Linked DNA regions of Pelodiscus sinensis. The protein of the gene in region 2 interacts with the protein of the main gene of each other region in a pairwise test. Links are inferred from orthologs where the notes say so. Each region holds a gene or a part of one and is shown on either strand. Other genes may lie near its edges.

The links.
Region 1: the proteins of RGL2 (region 2) and RAP1B interact in a two-hybrid assay, tested with the Homo sapiens proteins (2 studies listed by BioGRID and IntAct). The link is inferred for Pelodiscus sinensis from reciprocal best matches to the Homo sapiens genes RGL2 and RAP1B.

What each region holds. Positions count from the first base shown.
Region 1 is NC_134711.1:63,350,696-63,361,451, reverse strand, and holds the start of RAP1B (ras-related protein Rap-1b), read right to left. Parts: upstream 4,723-10,756; 5' UTR 4,546-4,722; intron 3,777-4,545; exon of another isoform or gene 3,711-3,776; intron 1-3,710. UniProt on the Homo sapiens protein: GTP-binding protein that possesses intrinsic GTPase activity. Contributes to the polarizing activity of KRIT1 and CDH5 in the establishment and maintenance of correct endothelial cell polarity and vascular lumen.
Region 2 is NW_027465970.1:39,725-50,042, forward strand, and holds the start of RGL2 (ral guanine nucleotide dissociation stimulator-like 2), read left to right. Parts: upstream 1-6,243; 5' UTR 6,244-6,381; intron 6,382-7,028; 5' UTR 7,029-7,086; coding exon 7,087-7,203; intron 7,204-8,292; exon of another isoform or gene 8,293-8,552; coding exon of another isoform or gene 8,553-8,630; intron 8,631-8,714; coding exon 8,715-8,783; intron 8,784-10,318. Other genes in the region: TAPBP (tapasin), read left to right, coding at 410-745, 1,111-1,200, 1,645-1,676, 2,642-2,653. UniProt on the Homo sapiens protein: Probable guanine nucleotide exchange factor. Putative effector of Ras and/or Rap. Associates with the GTP-bound form of Rap 1A and H-Ras in vitro.

The DNA.
Region 1 (10,756 bases), on a different chromosome or scaffold from region 2:
ATATGAAAACAAGTGTAACTTGCAATTAAAAAAAAAAAATCCACAGGTGACCTTAAATCTTATTCAAAGATGTAAAATGTTTCTAGACCAGCGGTTCTCAACTTTGAGCGCCGGAGCCCTTTACATGCGTAAAAATTTATGCGGAGCCCCAGCAGTCCACTGATTGTATGCATTGTACCTATCCATGTTTTCAGTTTGTCAACCTCGCAGAGCCTAAGCAGTTTGAAAAACACTGGTCTACCCAAGGCAGGGCTTATGTGGCTCCTTTTAGGGATGTTAAATATTGGTTCATTGATTAGTCAAGTAACCTCAAATTCTTATTGGTTAGTCAACTATTCAATAGTCCCTGGGGCAGGGATGGCAACCAGTGCGCTCCGGCCTTACTCCCAAGAAGCCCCCTGCCATTCTGTGCTGCTGCCTCTATATCAGAGGCAGCAGCACAGGGTGCCAGGCGAGAGCGGGTCCATGAGGGGAGCCTGTTTAAAAAACAACTCCCCTTACGTCACAAGCCACAACTGAGCTGGGCAGCTGGCCAGCCTGCTAAAAAATTTGTTGGCGGGAGGAGAGGGGGAAATGCATGTAATCTATAGCATTAACCTATAAACTTTTGCTTATCAGGGGTTAACTGACACTATTACATCTCTAGCCCCCCACATGTAATAAAATTGGGCACCACTATTCTGAATTGTGCTTTAATGCCATTTTTGTCTACAAGGAAGAATGGGGGCGGGGGGGAGAGAATGCCATTTTTGTCTACAAGGAAGAATGGGGGCGGGGGGGAGAGATTGTTGAGTTAGTTGTTTTAGTTGATTCTGATTACAGAACTAGCTGTTAGACTATTAGAGTACTGAAGTTTAACTTTCTTCTCTTTCAAACCTCTCAAGATTTTTTATTTTCCTTTTTGTGGGCTTATTCGCTCCTAGATTAATACCTGTGCTGCTATTCCAGCAAATCTCAAACAAAACTGAAACAGTAGTCCACTTTACTTGATACCAACATTTTCTCCAACAGCACAAAACAGAAATTGGCTCATACTGGCTAAATTTTACTCCAGGTCTTGAATTGTCCTAATAATGGGGGTTTAAAATAAGGTAGTATGTATACATCCCACATGGCAATAGTACAGTAGAACCTCAGAGTTAAATATACCTGAGTTACAAAACAGACTGGTCAACCACACACCTCCATTTGGAACCAAAAGAACACAATCAAGCAGCAGACAAAAAAAAAAACACACTATACATTACTGGTACATATAAAGGATTTGACAAAGTAAGGAAACCATTTATGTGCTTGTTTTTGTTCAAATTATGATTAAAATCAGCAATTTCTTCTACATAATAGTTACAAAGACTATCACATCAATGTTAAGCTGTAAACTTTTGAAAAAAACAGTCAAGATGTTTTGTTCAGAGTTGTGAGCATTTCAGAGTTACAAGTCACCTCCACTCCCAAGATGCCTGTAACTGGGACACTACTGTTGTCAGTACCCACTCAGATTAACACTAACAAGATTACCACGCCTAAAAGAAGAGTTTTGTTTACCTTCTGAACATTTTATAGCACTCTGTGATAATCAATTTCATCATACCCTCTGTATAGTCACTTTACCCTTTTGTTGGGTCTTTTTTTATAACAATGGAGTCAACTAATATGTGAACAATATAGAAACATAAAACCATGAAAACTGGTAGTCAATGGGAGACTATTAGGATGGCGTGTGTGGGCAAGGCGTTGGAGCACCTCCTCCACACAAAGGGTGCTCCTCAAAGTTGCTTTGAGCAACATGTGGGTCTATAACAGGAAGGGAGCCTGTCTGAGGGTCCCGCTGGACTACAGCAGGACAGATCTAGCCTGCAGGCTGCCCGTTGTAGGCTACTGGCAATTGACAGAGAAAAAAAAACTAGAATCCTGAGCAAAATAAGTGAAAAACATTTAGAAGCACTGAATTCAGCACTTTACTTAGGTTTCCATCTAAAATGTATAAGTCAAAAACTTTTAAACTGGGCATTAAGATGTTTTAAGTTTACCAAAGATAGAAAAGTCCATTCCAGTGTCAATGTGTGACCTTGTATTAAGAAATATAACTGTCTCATTTGACTAGTTATTGTGCAGTACACGACATAAGTTGGTAAAAATAAGTAGGGCAGTCAGGAACAGGAGTGAGCAATAATTGTTCATGGAGGGCCCACTCCAAGATCTGGTAAGTGGCCAAGGACTGCACTTTTCTATGGATGTGGTGCAGAGTCTGAGAGGTTGGATACAGAAGAGAGCTAGGGGTAGGGGACTGGGATGCAGGAAAGTGTGGGGTCTGAGAGGAAGTTTGAGTGAAGGAGGAGATTGCAATCAGGGGCAGATGAATGGTGTGTTGGGTCAGGGAGAGAGAATGGGTGCAGAAGAGGATTCTGGCTTGGAGTACAGAGTCTGGGAGGGAGTTGACCTGGAGGAGGGGGGTGCAGAGGGTATGGGTGGTGACCTGGGACAGGAAGTTGGGGTATAGGAGGGAGTAGAATGGCAGAAGCAGGCTCCAGCAGGTAGCTGCTTACCTAGAGGGCTCCCTGCCAGCAGCCCTGCAGGACCCCAAGGCAGGCACCCTATCTGCTGCAGCCCTATGCTGCTCAAAATGGCTGGACACTCCCCATGACGCTCTGCTTCAGGCAGAGCGAGGAGAGGAGGATGAAGTGGCTTTGCACGTTGCCACTACCCCCACCACAATTTCTTAGCTCCTACTGACCAAGCAATAGGGGCTTAAAGTGGTGTGGAGCTGCTTTGCGCCCCAGGATCCCAGTGCGAAGCCCACAAGTTGGATTCAGCCCACATCTTGCCCACCTCTGGTCAAAAAGCATAGCTGAAACTCAGAAGTGTTTACTCAAAAAAAAAACCTTGGAATTTGTGTACATGCTATGAAAGAGCCTTGGAAAACATCAATTCCATTAGCTTTGTCTGACTATTTTAACACACACCTATTATGTGGCCCCACATATACAAGAACTGGTTGCTAGATTTAATTCAATGTGTCATCAAAACTTCCAGATGTGTGTCCAAAATCCACTAAAACGCTTGGTTTATGATGTTGTCTAAATCGTCTTTTTTGAAGCCACATAAAGTTACACACTTATACCACAATATAGAAACTCTTTTCAAAATGAAGAGTCATATTTTCTAAATAGCATTTATTAGCCATTCATTTAAAAAAGTCAAAGAACATCAACATTTCAGTAAATGTTGCATAGTCCACTTTGTCAATTTGGAATACAGTATAATCATCACTTCCTGAGAAGCCTAGATGGTTTCAACAAAAATACCGGACACACTTGACATTACATTACATCTTATTTAGAAAACATTTATATTTTCTAAATTTGTTTCCCAAACAGAAAGCACAAATACTGGATTGTGCGGTTTAAAACTGGACACCTGGCAACCCTAGCAAAGCCTAATTATATTCTTCTGCAGCATAAATTTTGACAACATTTTGACAACATGCTGGTGGCATGGCAATCTTTCTAAAATATTGTGGGGTTGATGCAGAAGTTATTGAGTGTGGTTTTTAAGCCAGTATTGTGTAGAAATTCAAACTAGATAATCATGATTGCCCCTTACAGGCTTAAGACCTTTTTTCCAGACTTAAGACCTTTTCTTAAGGTCTGGTGGGGACAAGGACCAGAAGATTCATAAACATTAAAATGACTGCAGTGTTGTCTATTTACATTGCAAGCTCTTTCTGGGCAGGTTCCGTGCCTTCTTAGCCCCACGACCAAAGTACAGTTGAGGCACTATATAAAACACAGAAAACCACAAGTTTTAAAGCAAAAAGAGCTCCTGGCATGAAGAGAGAACCTGTAACAAGGTAAGATCCAGCACAGTCTCAATGCGTTACCCGTGATGCCCAGACTTTGGGGGCCGACACCATGGCCGGAGGATCGCCTCAGTCCAATACAAGTGACGAGGCCTATGGTGCCAGGCTGGTGGACACTCTCCCACGCCGAGGGAGGATGATGGAAACTGTGAGCAGCAGCGGCTGATACGGCCGGACTAGGTGGGGCTGAACTCAACTTCCCACAGCGAGCTGCCACCGCGGGAGCGAGAACTTTTCTTCACAGCTCGCCCGCCCGCCGCCCCTGACCCCCACCCCGGCCGGCCCAGGCGAGCAGCTCAGAGCTGCAGGGTTACAACTTTCCGCTTCCGCTCCAACTTCGGGGCGAGCGGGCGGGCGGGCGCCGGGCACCCCCAGCGCGAGGGGCGGGGGAGCGAGCAGCAGCCAAGCCCCAGACTCCGGCCGCCCGGGTGTCCCCGCTGCCGGGCGCAGGAGGCGGCGGCCGCTCTCGGTTCCTGCTCCGCCATGTTCAGGCACCGGCCCCCTGTCCGCACCGCGCGCTCTTCCCGCCGGCGGGGCCGCCGCCCCGGCCCCTCCACCCGCCCCGCTCCCACTGCCGCGGGGCCACCTGCGCCAGACACACGCCGCTGCCGCAGCCACCGCCCGCCCGGGGCTGGAGCGGCCCCCTGCTAGGCCCGGCCGCCCTCTCCCCCGCCACCTCCGCCTACCGGACAGCGCCGCCGCCGCCGCCGCTCCCCCCAGTCGCCTCCTGCCCGGCCGAGCCTGCTCCGCACGCCCGCTCCCTCTCGCGCTGCCGCTGCCTGGGCGAGGCTTGGAGCCGTCGTCGTGACGCCGCACGCCGAGCCTCGCTCTGGTTCCCCTACCCCGTTCCGGCGGCGGCGGGGGTGGGGGGGAGAGGAGGTAACTTCGCCGCCCTGCTTCCAAACTGCGCACGCGCGAGCCCCAGCCTCGCTGCGCACGGTCCCGCCCTCGCTTCACGCAGAACCTCTCCCCTCTCGCGCCCATTCCGGCCGATTTCCGCTCCCCGCCCGCATCGGGTAGTGGCGGGGGGAGGGGCAGGCACGTCTCCCTGCCAGGGTCCCGGGGTGGGGCCGAACTGATGGAGGGTTGCGGGCAAACAGGGCAAAGAGGCGCAGGGGGGAGGATGTTCTTGCACTGCCTCACTCCCTGTGCTTTGTACTAGGCATGCAATAGTGTAGCTGATTAACCTGTAAGCAAAAACTTAGAGGTTAATGCGATGAGTTACTTGCATTTCTCCGCGCTCCCTCCCCCTACTCAGTACATTTTTAAGCAGGCTAGCCAGCAGCCTGGCTCAGTCCTAGCTTGCCACAAGTCTGGCACCTACCCGTGCTGTGGCTCTGCATTTAAAGTGCATTGGGGCTGGGCCGGCAAACAGCCCAGCTCAGTTCCAACTTGCACGGGTCCAGGAGCTCAGACTTCCACCCAGACAAGAGCTGCTGCCACCCTATGCTGCTATCTTTTTAGCAGAAGCAACAGCACAGGGTGACAGGAGCAGGAACTGTTTTTTAAACTGGCTCCCCTCACAGACCAACACCTGCCTGATACTCTGCACTGATGCCTGTGATATAGAGGCAGCAGCACGGAGTAGCAGAGGGCTCTTTAGGAGTGAGGTGCACTGGCTGCTGGACCCCACCCCCGGGGGCTATAGAATAGTCAACTAACCAATAAGAATTCATAAGGTTAGTCGACTATTCAGTTAAGTGATATTTAACATCCCTAGTTTGTACCTGCTTGTGACCCACATTTGCAGTATCTGTAGACGTTGGCCCCCTAAAAGCTCTTTCTTCACCCACCTTGTTTGTTTATATGGAGTCATTTTTACCCCCCATGCACCATGTCACACCAAATGGTTCTCACTGACTTGCTCCGTTAGCCGCAACTGCCAGCATGCTCTGAGGGCTCAGGCCTTACCGTACTACCCTCTTGCCTGCCCCATTCGGGAGTAGGATTTGCATAATTGCAAATGACTCATGAATGGCATCCATTGGCAACTTATGTAGGCAAGGGCAGGCATTGCCTTCCCACAAAGACCAAGGTGGTCCCACCCATGCTCATGTACAGCTGCTGTAATAGGCCAAGGAAGGCAATGCCTTTGCCTGGTGCTGTCACCAACCCACTGCAGGACAACTAGCACACAGTCCACCTTTAGGGCAGGGGGAGCTGGCACTTGGAAAGGCTGCTGGCAGCTTGGCCCAATGCTAAGAACAATCTGGCACTCAGGGAGAGGGGATGCAAACAGGCACTGGGTGCAGCCCGGTGCGCAGGGGAACAGAGGTTCAGTCTGGTGGGCTAGGAGGGAGGGTAGTAGCAGCAGCAGCTTGGCCCATTGTGGCTGGGGTCAGGCCAAGGATCCTTTGGTCTTCAGGCTCCTCCTTAAGGCTTTTCTTTTTACAGGCAGGGGGAGAGGCTTTAGGGCTCTAGCATATGGGGACAGGGTCTTAGGGAGCAGGTGGGCATGCCTCTTTAAAGCAGTCATTCACTTGTCATCCATGCCCAGCTGGGAAAGCTGAGGCCATATGGCTTCCTGGCAGGCCAGGAAGGCTGGGGCATGGCTGCCCAACTGCTCCTGGGGCTGGAGCCTGAGCCACACAGCTGCCCTATGGATCAGTGTAGCACCAAAGCTATCTGGCTGCTCCAGAGTCTGAGGCTGTGTGAGAACTGGGGCTGTGCAGCTGCCCGGCACTGGGGGAGGAGGGGAGGCACTAGCCTTAGGCAGGGGCCAGCAGCCATGCTAGTGGGGCTGGGGTGCAGGGCAGAGACCTGTCGCCAGGTGGGCATAGAGTGGTCAGGGGCAGGCTGGGACTTCGTCCCCAAGTCAGTTGTTCACCCACTATCTCATATTGGTATCTGTATCCTTGTCATAGACTGCCTCAGAGTTTGGGGAACAAAATGAAGTCTTCCTGTGGTATTGCCATCAGTCAGGAACTGAAATAGAAGGCTAGTTCTAGGAGAATTTTGTCTAGCAATGTAGGAATTGCCCTATCTACTGGATCAGCATTATGGTCTGTATAGTTTTGTTTCCTATGTGTCTCCAACCTAGGCAAGCATCAGATTCTTCAAAAAGAAATGTAAGAAATCCCATATAAGGGGTTATAGACATATAAGGAGGAATCTGTTTCCCCACCAAGGTTTTAGCCTAATTTTAATAGTTATAGATTAGTTAAAACCATGAGATTGGTTTAAATCCTGGTCTCAACCTATGAAGAAAATAACTTTAAATTATTTTTAAAAATCTGTGGGGAAAATGTAACATTAACATTAACACAAATGCATATATCCCCAATTCTTACCCACATTTGTGCTCTGAGATCCTTGGATAATTGGTGTCATATAAATACAAAATATTATTCTGGACATACCTTATTAAGCCTTCCAACACTTACAATTTATCATTAGCTTCTATTGCCACAGGGCAGGAGACCTATTGAAGTTGAAGGACCTATGACCTTTCTTGATCCTTCTCCTCCAATTTATTAGTGTAAAATTGTCAAATATCAAAATGCCTTTTTTCTTAAAGTCACAAGTGTTCTCTCTCATTTGAATAAAATATTTTTAAAGACTTAAGTATTACAAATAAATTACTTATGTATATGATAAATACTTTGTAAGCAAATGGTTAACCTGTGTACAGATAAAGCTCTTGCTCAGAGGAAGTTCACCACAGAATACATGAAACTGACAGGAAGTTGCATTGAGGTTGTTGGCAAAGGGAGTGGGTGTGGAGGAAGTACCGGCTTTCTGTTTGCAGTACAGAGATAGACAAGAGGAAAAAAAGGATATATTTCCCCAAATTGCATGCTAGTGGAAAATTATTTGAAGTCCATAAAACTCATGATAAATTTATAGTAAATACTATCAGAGCATTGGAGCAGAGGTGGTAAAAGTGCACCAAAAGAGCATACAAATCTCAGTATTAGATGTTCCCTCTGGATTTAAGGCACCAAGCAAGTGACACAGAAATTCTTACTTTTACCTTAAAATATTTTTCTTCAGAGCATTGCACTAAAATAAAATCCAAAACATCATAAAATCTCTTCCAAAGTCTAGACAAATGTCTTGATGTTTTACAGCTAAAACCTGTACAGTACTTTGATAAAACTAGCTAAAAAATAACAACTTTTTAAAAGTACATCAGAAGCAGGAAGACTTCTAAACTTCCAGTGGGACCACTAGATGATCGAGATGCTAAAGGAGCACTCAAAGATAATGTCATTGTGAGAAACTAAGGCTACGTCTAAACTACAAAGATTTTTCGAAAGAGGATGTACAAATTCCTTTTCTGATCGCATTTTTGAAAGAGGATCTTTCAAAAGTGAAGGTAGTCTGGATACGGGGTGTTTTTTTGAAAAAAAAAACCTTTTTGGAAAAAAAACGCTCTTCCTAAAAAAAGGATGTTTACACAGTTTTTGAAAAAGGTTTTTTCCCCGAAAAAAACACGTCCAGACTACTTTCACTTTCGAAAGATCCTGTTTCGAAAATGTCATCAGAAGGAATTTGCATATCCTCTTTCGAAATCAAAACATAGTCTAGACATGCCCTAAATGAATTCTTTGCATTGGTCTTCACGGCTAAGGATGTTAGGGAGATTCCCAAATTCTTTTAAATGACAAATCTGAGGAATTGTCCCAGATTGAGGTGTCATTAGAGGAGATTTGAGAACAAGTTGATAAACTACCCAGTAACAAGTCACCAGGACCAGATAGCATTCACTCAACAGATCTAAAGACTCAAATGAGAAATGTGGAACTACTAACTGTGATTTGTAACCTAACATTTAAATGTGCTTCTGTACCAAATGACTGGAAGATAGCTAATAAGATCCTTTTTTGAAAATTGATATCACAAGTAGGGATGTAAGCAACGAGTCGACTAGAGATGTGACTAGTTACTTCCCCCCCTTGCTGTCTCTATCAGAGGCAATGGGGGGGGGGGGTGAGTATGAGAGAAAGATCAGGAGCTGGTGCTGGTGGGAGCTGGCTTAAAAGCTGGCTCCCCCCAGCATCATCTCTGGGAGGGTTGGGGAGGTAGAGATGTTGTACCAAATAAAAGCAAGCAGGATCTTATGAGGGGGATAAGGCAAAAAGCCACATTTATTGTAAAGATAATAAAAATAAAGAAAAGATAGAAGCAAACAACGTTGTTTAACTACTTATTCCTATCACTACTTAACCCTTATACACTTGTGTGTATATATATATATATATATATATATATATATATATATATATATATATATATATATATATATATATAACCATTCATTCATACATCCATTCATTCAAGTTCTGTGTATAGTTACCAGCCTGGAAGTTGCTTGTGACAGGATACTGGCCAGGTACTCTGTACACAAGTGATGGTAGTGGGGAGCGAAGTCCTGATCAGATGTGCATCTGAAGCTCCTGGTAGGCTGGCAGCAGAACCTTGGACTCTGATTCCATAGTTTTTTAGTCCAGTTCTTATAGGAATTTCTTCCTATGCCAGTCTATGGAAATTGCTGTATCATGCTGATGTCTCCAGGGTGGCTGCCAGGTGCTCATCAGTGAGCTCATCGGGTGGACCTCCAGTTTCTCCACTTGACACCTTTTGGTTGCACTGGCACCTGACGCCTTCTTCAGCCCTTTGTTGCTGTATTCTCAGGCTGGCACCTCTTAGAACCATTCACTCATCATCCAAGCACTCTCTCTCTTACATACATTCCTTAATGTTTCCCATACAATGTTTTTGTATAATAATAACTTTACATATATCAGAGTTGTAGTTACAAAAAGTTTCTGGTAATAATAACTTTACATATATCAGAGTTGTAGTTACAAAAAGTTTCTGGGTGGTATTGCTTAAAACATTCTCTGAGTGCTGAGTAAAGTTACAATGTTTTAAAGAGAACAGGCGTCAATTAAGTAACAATGCCCTTAGTCAATTACAGGGCTTGGCTCCCATAGCAGAGTTAGTGGTTTGACAATGCATTGTTACAATGTATCTTTGCAATGTCAATTTCAAGCAGCCCCTTGCACAAACTTGAGCATGCCCTGGAGCACAGAGGGGGGGGGGGGGGGGGCTGTTTCTGGTTACATAGGATTATATTTTTAACAGTTCTAAGTTACATTACCTAATACATTATATTCTAAAGGGGCAATAATAATCATAAATCTAAACATTTAACAATCTTAACAACTAATAATAATAATAAGAAGAATCCTAATAAATCTAAACACTTTAAGTTGTGGAGAACAAATTATGGGGAGTCACTTCCATTTGGGGGAATCACATTTTTAATACATTAATATGTTATCCCTACAGAGAGACAGTGGGAAATGGCATGAGCGGATACTGAAGCAGTCTCCACTTGCGCTGCTTCTGCTGCGATTCTGCTTTTGAAATGTACAAGAGCCCCAGTGGGTTAATGATTGGTCTATAAGGGCACCTCCGCCTTTGAATTATAGCAAGAGTCCAACAGGGCTCTTGTACATTTCAAAAGGAATTGTCAGACACAGAGATTAACATATTTTATTGGGGAAAGTCAACATTAGTTTCTGTAAAGGGAAAAATCATGCCTCACTAACCTACTAGAATTCTCAGGGGTGGGGAGTGTCAACAAGCATTTGGACAAAGGAGATCCACTAGATATATTTGTGACGGGGTGTGGTTACAGAAGACCCCTTTGGGGATGCTGACAAAGCCACTGACACTCTCCTTGCTCTTTGGGGCTCCTCATTACCCTGTCCTGCTGGGCCAGATCTCCTGGTCTCCTCCAGCCAAAACACAGAGCTGAGATCACCTCCCCTTCCCCTTCCCCTCCCCTCCCCCAACAAAAGAGCAATACTGACACTGAACTTCTTCAGGTCTGAGGAGAATGTAATTTTGAGCACAGATTCCAGGAAACCCCCTCTCCAAATAGGA
Region 2 (10,318 bases):
GGGGGCCTCACGCTCCTGCCTCTGTGCCCCGGGGCGTCTCCTGCCCCCCCAGCCTGGTGACACACGTCTGACTCTGTGCCGATGCTCCCACATCCTGTGCTGTGAACCCCAATATTTACCCCTGAGGTGGAGGGGTCCCAGAGCTACCCACATTGGCCCAAGTACCCCTAGACACACAGGCGCTGAGGATGCTGGACAGGGTTGAATGGGACTGATCGCGAATTCCTCCTTCCTCCCAGAGCTGCCTGTGGTGGCACTGGACCCTGTGCCCCCCATGAGGGCGTAGCTCCTCTCCCCCTCCAGGTCACCCTGCACCCCAGCCCTGTCTGGGCCTGCCAGGGGAAGAGGGGCACAAGGCTGGTCCGCGGAGGCCGGTACGGGACCAGTTTCTAAGCTGCTTTCCCCTCAGAGCCCCCTGTGGTGACGCTGCGCCCTGACCCCCTGATGGTGAGCCCTGGGGCGCCGGCTGAGCTGTCCTGCGAGATCTCGGGCTATTTCCCCTTGGACGTGGCGGTGAGCTGGCTGCGCCGGGGCCCAGGCGAGACGGGGGGCGACCTCCTAGAGTACGTGACTGAGACCTGGGAGTCCGGGCATCGGCGTGGCCCCGACGGCACCTACAGCCTGAGCAGCTTTGCCCGCCTGGCGCCCATCCGGACCAGCGACCATGGAGCCACCTACAGCTGCCACGTGACCCACACTGCCCTGGCCACGCCTGTCCGGAAGAGTGTCCAGCTCCGTGTGGCAGGTGGGGCCGGGGCCAGGGGCCATGGCAGGCAATGGGCGGGCTGAGGAGAGAGCAGGGAGGGGGTGACTCTGGAGGTGGGTGCTGGGGGCTCAGGGGGGATGGAGGGGAGAGCGGGGAGGGGGTGACGCTGGAGGTGGGTGCTGGGGGCTCAGGGGGGATGGAGGGGAGAGCGGGGAGGGGGTGACGCTGGAGGTGGGTGCTGGGGGATCGGGGGGATGGAGGGGAGAGCAGGGAGGGGGTGACGCTGGAGGTGGGTGCTGGGGGATCGGGGGGATGGAGGGTAGAATGGGGAGGGGGTAGCACAGGGCATGGGGGGAGGGCTGCCGTGGGGGGGTGTCTCAGTCTCACACACGCACCTGCCCCAGGTGCCACGGGCCCCTCCCTGGAGGACGCCATCGGGATGTTCCTGGCTGCGTTCCTGCTCTACGGGCTCTTCCGCTTCCTCGGAAACAAGGGTGCGTCTCCCCCCAGTGTCACGCCCCCCCAGGTCCCACCTACGCCCCCCACCTCCTCGAAAACAAGGGTGTCCCCCCCAGCATCACCCTTCCCCCCATGCAAATCCTCTGCTACAAAGGTCAGTGCTTCCCTGGCCTCATTCACCCGCCCCACCTCCTAGCAGCCCCCTGCCATCTTCCACTGCACCCCCAACCAGCCAGCCTCCTCTGCAATATCCCCCCCTCTGACTCCCTGTGCCTGCCTCTCCCCCAGCTACCCCCGGCCTGCCCACTGCATCCCAGTCCGCCCCCTGCACCTCTCTCCACCAGAGCTGCTGTGTCCCAATGTCCCTCAGACCCCCCAGCCTCGCCTGTACCCCCATGGACAGGGCTATAGAGCACCTGCCCCCCGTTCTCACTGCTCCTGCCGGGGGTGGCTCACTCCTGTCTCCCTTCCTTTTTCAGTCTGCCCAGCCGGAGCTGAAGAGAAAACCAAGGTAAATACCCCCCAGCCTGTGCCCCACAGCGCTCCTGCCCCTTGCCCCACAGCGCCCCCCTGCTGGGCGAGGCTGGGCGCTCCTGCCCCACAGCGCCCCCTGCTAGGCGACACTGGGAGCTCCCCCTCCACAGCCAGTGTCTTGCCCCTCAGCACCCCCTGCTGGATGAGGCGGGGAGCTCCCCTCCCCCTATCCCCCACAGCCAGTGTCCTGCCCCACAGCGCCCCCTGCTGGGCGACACTGGGAGCTCCCCCTCCACAGCCAGTGTCCTGCCCCTCAGCACCCCCTGCTGGATGAGGCACGGAGCTCCCTTCCCCCTATCCCCCACAGCCAGTGTCCTGCCCCACAGCACCCCCTGCTGGATGAGGCGGGGAGCTCCCCTCCCCCTATCCCCCACAGCCAGTGTCCTGCCCCACAGCGCCCCCTGCTAGGCGACACTGGGAGCTCCCCCTCCACAGCCAGTGTCCTGCCCCTCAGCACCCCCTGCTGGATGAGGTGGGGAGCTCCCCTCTCCCTATCCCCCACAGCCAGTGTCCTGCCCCACAGCGCCCCCTGCTGGGCGACACTGGGAGCTCCCCCTCCACAGCCAGTGTCCTGCCCCTCAGCACCCCCTGCTGGATGAGGCGCGGAGCTCCCTTCCCCCTATCCCCCACAGCCAGTGTCCTGCCCCACAGCACCCCCTGCTGGATGAGGCGGGGAGCTCCCCTCCCCCTATCCCCCACAGCCAGTGTCCTGCCCCACAGCGCCCCCTGCTAGGCGACACTGGGAGCTCCCCCTCCACAGCCAGTGTCCTGCCCCTCAGCACCCCCTGCTGGGCGACTCTGGGCTCTCTCCCCCAGCCAAGTGCCCTGCCCCACAGCACCCCCTGCTGGGCAAGGCCAGGAGCTCCCCCCACAGTTAGTTCCTGACCCACAGTGTCCCCTGGATTTTGTGGTGTGATTCTTACATGACGCTTCTCCCCACAGAAATCAGAGTGAGACATGCCAAGGGCAGCGGAGATTTTGGGGCCTGATCTGTGACCCCCAAAACAAGACTGTGACCCCAGGACAGGAACCAGTGTTGTGGGGCTCAATGGACAGTGAAGGGCAATTTCCTCTCCCCTATGCCCGCTGTGCCGCCAGGCCCCACCCCCATCCTCCCTCACCATGCAGCCGCCTCCCCTGCTGCTCCCCCTGCCCCTCTTGGCCTGCTTTCCCCATGCCTCCCCTGCTGCCCACCCCCCCCCCCCCCCCGGCACACGGCCTGCTCTGGGAAAGGTGGCGGCTGCTGTTCTGCACTGTGGGGCCTTTGGCCCCAGAAATAAAGCTATTTTCCTGGGACACCCCAACTCCTGCCTGGGCCTCGTCATCTCTCAGCCCCACCCCCCTGGAGCCTTCCTCAGCAGAGAGCTGCACCCCACGCCCCCATCTCCTGCCTCAGCAGGAAATCTCCCCTCCCGGCGCATCCCTGGGCCCTCCTCGCCAGGGCCCCTCAGGTTCAGAGACCCAGTAGCAAGGAGTTCCACAGGCCCTTCCCGACATCTTTTGCTATCTGAGGTTGCTCCCATTCCCCTCTGTGATAGGGGGTCTGGTATGTCCTGGTCTTTACTCCCCCCCTTCCCTGTCTAAGCTCTGCCCGCCCCAGCTGGGCTTGTAAGGGGCAGTGGGGCAGAGGGAGGTGTGACTTCCTGCTGCAGGGAGACAGGAAGGCAGCCCTATTGTTTGGCTTCCTCCCCTCTGGGGCCAGGGAAGAATATAGAGACCAGAGGTCCCAGATCCCAAGTGGAGGAGGGAATATATGGACTGGAGTACTGGGAAACATGGATCTGGATCCCAAGGGGAGGGGAAAGTGTATGGACCAGAGAGCTGGGAAACATGGATCTGGATCCTGAGAGGAGGGGAGAGTGTATGGACCGGAGAGCCAGGGAACACGGATCTGGATCCTGAGAGCAGAGGAGAGTGTATGGACCGGAGAGCTGGGAAACACGGAACTGGATCCTGAGAGGAGGGGAGAGTGTATGGACCGGAGAGCCGGGAAACACGGAACTGGATCCTGAGAGGAGGGGAGAGTGTATGGACCGGAGAGCCGGGAAACACGGAACTGGATCCTGAGAGGAGGGGAGAGTGTATGGACCGGAGAGCCGGGAAACACGGAACTGGATCCTGAGAGGAGGGGAGAGTGTATGGACCGGAGAGCCGGGAAACATGGAACTGGATCCTGAGAGGAGGGGAGAGTGTATGGACCGGAGAGCTGGGAAACACGGAACTGGATCCTGAGAGGAGGGGAGAGTGTATGGACCGGAGAGCTGGGAAACACGGAACTGGATCCTGAGAGGAGGGGAGAGTGTATGGACCGGAGAGCCGGGAAACACGGAACTGGATCCTGAGAGGAGGGGAGAGTGTATGGACCGGAGAGCCGGGAAACATGGAACTGGATCCTGAGAGGAGGGGAGAGTGTATGGACCGGAGAGCTGGGAAACACGGAACTGGATCCTGAGAGGAGGGGAGAGTGTATGGACCGGAGAGGTGGGAAACACGGAACTGGATCCTGAGAGGAGGGGAGAGTGTATGGACCGGAGAGCCGGGGAACATGATTTCAATGAGGGGAGGGAGATAATATACAGACAAGGGAGGTATATGGTGCACTGGAAAACGAGCTGGATCTTGGGGGTGGGAGGAGACTGTATAGACTGGTGAGCTGGGAAATGTGGATCTGGATTTCAAGGGAGGGGGAGTATATATACAGACAGCTCTGGAAACACGGATCTGGGTCTAGGGCGACATACGAAGCTGGATCCCAAGGGGAATGCAAGACTGGAGCACTGGGAGCATGGAGCCGGATCCCAGGAGAGGGGGACACATGCAGGCATGGAACAGAGCAGCATAGCGGGTTGGTCCCCGGTTCTGGGACTCTCTGGCCCCGGCTCTGTCTCCTCCGGTCCGGATTTTGTCACGCTCTGCTCTGGGTTTCATGTCACTTCCTTTCTGGACTAGCTCCACCCCAGAATTTCCATCTCCCTGGTAGGCTCTGGGCCGGGCTGTCTGTCTCTGGTTCAGGTCCCTCCCGTTCAGCTCCGCCTCAGGCTTTGGGACTCCCCACTGGCTCTGCTCTGGGCTTTACTGTCCTCAGCCCCTGGAGCCATTCCCAGGCCGGTAGAACTCCGGGTTTTGTGTCTCCCTGCTGGTTCCTGCTCTGGGATTCCTTCCTGCTGCCCCGTTCCCTCCCGTCCCTCGCCCCAGCCCCAGGATTTCCTTCCTTCTGCCCCCATTCCCTCACCTCTCTTGCTCCAGAGCCAGGATTTCCTTCCTTCTGCCCCCATTCCGTCCCTTCCCTCGCCCCAGCTCCAGGATTTCCTTCCTTCTGCCCCCATTCCCTCACCTCTCTTGCTCCAGAGCCAGGATTTCCTTCCTTCTGCCCCCATTCCCTCCCTTCCCTCGCCCCAGCTCCAGGATTTCCTTCCTGCCCCCATTCCCTCCCTTCCCTCGCCCCAGCTCCAAGATTTCCTTCCTTCTGCCCCCATTCCCTCACCTCTCTTGCTCCAGAGCCAGGATTTCCTTCCTTCTGCCCCCATTCCGTCCCTTCCCTCGCCCCAGCCCCAGGATTTCCTTCCTTCTGCCCCCATTCCCTCCCTTCCCTCATCCCAGCTCCAGGATTTCCTTCCTTCTGCTCCCATTCCCTCACCTCTCTTGCTCCAGAGCCAGGATTTCCTTCCTTCTGCCCCCATTCCCTCCCTTCCCTCGCCCCAGCTCCAGGATTTCCTTCCTTCTGCCCCCATTCCCTCACCTCTCTTGCTCCAGAGCCAGGATTTCCTTCCTTCTGCCCCCATTCCGTCCCTTCCCTCGCCCCAGCCCCAGGATTTCCTTCCTTCTGCCCCCATTCCCTCCCTTCCCTCGCCCCAGCTCCAAGATTTCCTTCCTTCTGCCCCCATTCCCTCACCTCTCTTGCTCCAGAGCCAGGATTTCCTTCCTTCTGCCCCCATTCCGTCCCTTCCCTCGCCCCAGCCCCAGGATTTCCTTCCTTCTGCCCCCATTCCCTCCCTTCCCTCATCCCAGCTCCAGGATTTCCTTCCTTCTGCTCCCATTCCCTCACCTCTCTTGCTCCAGAGCCAGGATTTCCTTCCTTCTGCCCCCATTCCCTCCCTTCCCTCGCCCCAGCTCCAGGATTTCCTTCCTTCTGCCCCCATTCCCTCCCTTCCCTCGTCCCAGCTCCAGGATTTCCTTCCTTCTGCCCCCATTCCCTCCCTTCCCTCGTCCCAGCTCCAGGATTTCCTTCCTTCTGCCCCCATTCCCTCCCTTCCCTCGTCCCCAGCTCCAGGATTTCCTTCCTTCTGCCCCCATTCCCTCCCTTCCCTCGTCCCAGCTCCAGGATTTCCTTCCTTCTGCCCCCATTCCCTCACCTCTCTTGCTCCAGAGCCAGGATTTCCTTCCTTCTGCCCCCATTCCCTCCCTTCCCTCGTCCCAGCTCCAGGATTTCCTTCCTTCTGCCCCCATTCCCTCCCTTCCCTCGCCCCAGCTCCAGGATTTCCTTCCTCCTGGCCCCATTTCCGTCTCTCTCTAGCTCCGGGTTTTCCTGCCAGCCCTCATCCCCTCCTCTCCATGGCTCCAGCTCCGGGCTTTCCTGCCTGCATGGCCCGGGGCTCTGTTCCTAGGCTGGGTTCAGCTCCGAGGCTTCCGCCCCGCCCTCCCAGCCTTGCCCCGGGTTAAGCAGCAGGGAGCCGGGTGCCCAGGTGGGTGTGCACGGGGGCAGCGGCGAGCGGGGTGCAAGGGAGGATGCGGGGGCGGGGTGCAGGGGGTATGTGGGGGGGAGGAAGTGGGGAGCAGGGGGTGAGTGGGGGGGAGGAAGTGGGGAGCAGGAGGTGGGGGGAGGAAGTGGGGAGCAGAGGGTGTGTGGGGGGGAGGAAGTGGGGAGCAGGGGGTGTTTGTGGGGGGGAGGAAGTGGGGAGCAGGGGGAGAGGTGAAGTGGGAGGAAGTGGGCACCAGAGGGTGCCGGGGGGGGGGAGGAGGTGGAGAGTGGAATAAGGGGTACAAGGAATGTGCTGGGGAGCAGGGGGTACAGGGAGGGGTAGGGGTGCAGTGTGAAATATGGGGGTGCAAGGAGGGGGAGGGGTATAGGGAGTGTGTTGGGGCGGGGAGGCAGAGTGTAATATGGGGATGCAGGGAGGGGGTGCAGAGTAATATTAGGATGCAGGGAGGGGGAGGGGTATAGGGAGTGTGGGGGTGCAGACTGTAATATGGGGGTGCAGGGAGGGGACAGTGGCTGTGGAGGGTGAAGTGGGAGGAAGTGGGGAGCAGAGGGGTGCAGGAGGGAGGGGGGACCAGGGCACCCCAGATAATTCCTAGAACTGCCCTCCCTCCCTCCCTCCCTCTCTCTCAGTCCCGGACCTCGCCTGACACCCTTCCCATGACTCCTCTGTGGGCCTGAGACGCCCCCCATGCTGCCCCGCTCCCTGCGGCACCTGCTGGAGGGGGCCCGGCTGGAGCTGGAGGGGGACCAGGGGGTCACTCTGAGCGCCTTCCGGAGCTGGTCCCCTGACCCCCCACAGCCGCAGGTGAGATGGGGCTGAGGGGAGGGGTGTGCTGGGGGTGGTCCGGGGGTGGTTAGCTGAGGCACTGTGGCAGCAGTCAGGGTGTGTGGGACAGGGGGAAGGGGGGGTGAGGGTCTGTGTGGTGTGGGTCACGCAGGTGTGGGGGGGTCACACCTGTGTGGGTTTGTGAGTGCTGGGAGGCGCATGTTGGGTTGTCACAGCCTTGGCGTGGAGAGTCCCGGGGAGCTGGGCGCTGGGGCAGCCTCTGGGAAATTCCTGCGCCACCCAGCTGATTAGCCCACAGCTGGGTTTGTGTTTCTACTGGTGGTGCACAGTCACATGTGCCTTGGTGCGCATAACAAAATTATTCCACATGTGGATGGGACACATTACCAGGAACTTGACTGTGTGTGTGTAAGATCAGACCTGTGTTGTAGGTCACACCCTTGCTGCGTGTGACACGCGGGGGTGTGTGGTGGTGTCAGACGGGGGGGCCTTGCTGGGCTGCGTGGTGGGAAGAGTGTGCTGCGGGGTCACACCTTGGCGAGCAGCGGGTTGTCCTGCAGGACCTGTCGCTGGTTGTCACGGTGTGGCTGATTCAGCGTGTGGTTGTGTTGGTTTGGCTAATAGTCGTGCAGCTCGCCAGGGTGCAGGGTGCTCTGGGGGTGTCAGTGTTGGGGGCTATTTGTGATAAGCGGGGGCGGCCAGTGGGGCACTTTCACTTCCTGTCCCACAGCCCCCTTGGTCCCCATCCCGCTCAGAGGAGGCTGCCCAGGGGACGCAATCCGCCCTGCGCTGGGGGATGGGGTGGGGCAGGTTTGGGGAAGTGCCTGGGGGGCAGGGCGGGAGTGGGAGGGGCTGGAGCAGACACAGAAGGCGGAAGCAGCAAGGGAGACTGAAAGAGAGAAACTGAGACAGACAGAGTCCGGGAGGGGGGAGTGTGGGGGGCAGGGCCAGACAGACAGAACCGGGGGGGGGGGGGGGGGGCAGGGCCTCACAGACAGACAGAAGGGGCGGAGCTGGGCCAGACAGACAGGGGGAAGGGGGGGAAGGGGGGCAGCAGGGCCAGACAGGGAGAAGGGGGGGAAGGGGGGCAGCAGGGCCAGACAGGCAGGCTGGGGGGTGTTGGTGGGGGGGGAGGCTGTCTGTCTGTCTGTCTGCATGCCCTGGCCCTTGTGTGTGAGAGGCTCACTGGGTCACGCTGCCCCCTAACCCTGTCCCTCCTGTCTGTGCCCCCCCACACCCCCGAGCCGCCCTGCCAGGCCCCACAGGCCTGTCCCAGAGGGCTGTGGAGATTGGGGGGTCTTGGCTGGGAGCCCCTCCCCCACGCGGCGCCCCAATGAGCAGGACCCAGTGACCCCCGCGGGGGGGCCATGAGGGCGTGCCTGGGGCTGGAGGCTCCGGGGGGCGAGGGGCCGTCCCGCACGCGCTGGTACTGCCTGCCTGTCAGGGTGAGTGGGGGCAGGCGTTTCCGGGGGACGATCGGCTGCGGTGGGGGGGCAGCGATACCGGGGTAACCCCCCTCTCTGCTCCAGCCCCCGGTGACCCTGACGGAGGAGGCTGAGGAGGGGGTGACTTACACGGTGACCGTGCGCCAGCCAGGGGTGAGTGGGGGGCTTGGCTTGGCTCTGGGGGGATGTCCCAGGCTGGCTCTGGTGCTCTCTCCCATAGCTCTGGGGGGAGCCAGGCTGGGACAAGGCGGGGGGCAGGCTGGCTGACTCTGTGCTGGCCCTGGGGTGGGGTGCGGCCAGGCCAGGCTGTGGAGGATTAGGGGGGTGGGCTGGATTGCTGGGGGCCAGGCTGGGTGACTGGGGGGCTGTGGGGCCGGGCCAGGCACTGAGAGGTCTGCAGGGGCCAGGTTAATGGATATTCCCTGCAGGCCCCAGGGGGGGCGCGGTGCCCGTGCTGGTGGCTCAAGACCCGGTTGCTGGGGGGGTCCAGGCTGACAGACTCCCCGCAGGCTCCTGGGGGGGACGCCCTGTGCCGGGTGCTCAAGACCGGGTGCTGGGGGGCAGGTTGCTGGGTGTTGGGGGAAGTCGCTGGGTTCTGGGGGGGTCCGGGCTGACAGACTCTCCCTGCAGGCCCCTGGGGGGGGGGACGCCCCGTGTCAGGGGCTCACGGCCCGGTCGCTGGGGGGGTCCGGGCTGACAGACTCTCCCTGCAGGCCCCTGGGGGGGACGCCCCGTGTCGGGCGCTCAAGGCCCGGTTGCTGGGGGGGCAGGTCGCTGGGTGGGTCCGGGCTGACAGACTCTCCCTGCAGGCCCCTGGGGGGGGACGCCCCGTGTCAGGGGCTCACAGCCCGGTCGCTGGGGGGGCAGGTCGCTGGGTGGGTCCGGGCTGACAGACTCTCCCTGTAGGCCCCTGGGGGGGGCGCCCCGTGTCGGGCGCTCAAGGCCCGGTTGCTGGGTGGGTCCGGGCTGACAGACTCTCCCTGCAGGCCCCTGGGGGGGGGCGCCCCGTGTCAGGCGCTCAAGGCCCAGTCGCTGGGGGGGCAGGTCGCTGGGGGGGCAGGTCGCTGGGGGGGGTCCGGGCTGACAGACTCTCCCTGCAGGCCCCTGGGGGGGACGCCCCGTGTCGGGGGCTCACGGCCCGGTCGCTGGGGGGGCAGGTCTCTGGGTGGGTCTGGGCTGACAGACTCTCCCTGCAGGCCCCTGGGGGGGGCACCCCGTGTCGGGCGCTCACGGCCCAGTCGCTGGGGGGGGCAGGTCGCTGGGGGGGGGCCAGGTCGCTGGGGGGGTCCAGGCTGACAGACTCTCCCTGCAGGCCCCTGGGGGGGACGCTCCGTGTTGGGCGCTCACGGCCCGGTTGCTGGGTGGGTCCGGGCTGACAGACTCTCCCTGCAGGCCCCTGGGGGGGGCGCCCCGTGTCGGGCGCTCAAGGCCCGGTTGCTGGGTGGGTCCGGGCTGACAGACTCTCCCTGCAGGCCCCTGGGGGGGGCGCCCCGTGTCAGGCGCTCAAGGCCCAGTCGCTGGGGGGGCAGGTCGCTGGGGGGGCAGGTCGCTGGGGGGGTCCGGGCTGACAGACTCTCCCTGCAGGCCCCTGGGGGGGACGCTCCGTGTTGGGCGCTCACGGCCCGGTTGCTGGGTGGGTCCGGGCTGACAGACTCTCCCTGCAGGCCCCTGGGGGGGGCGCCCCGTGT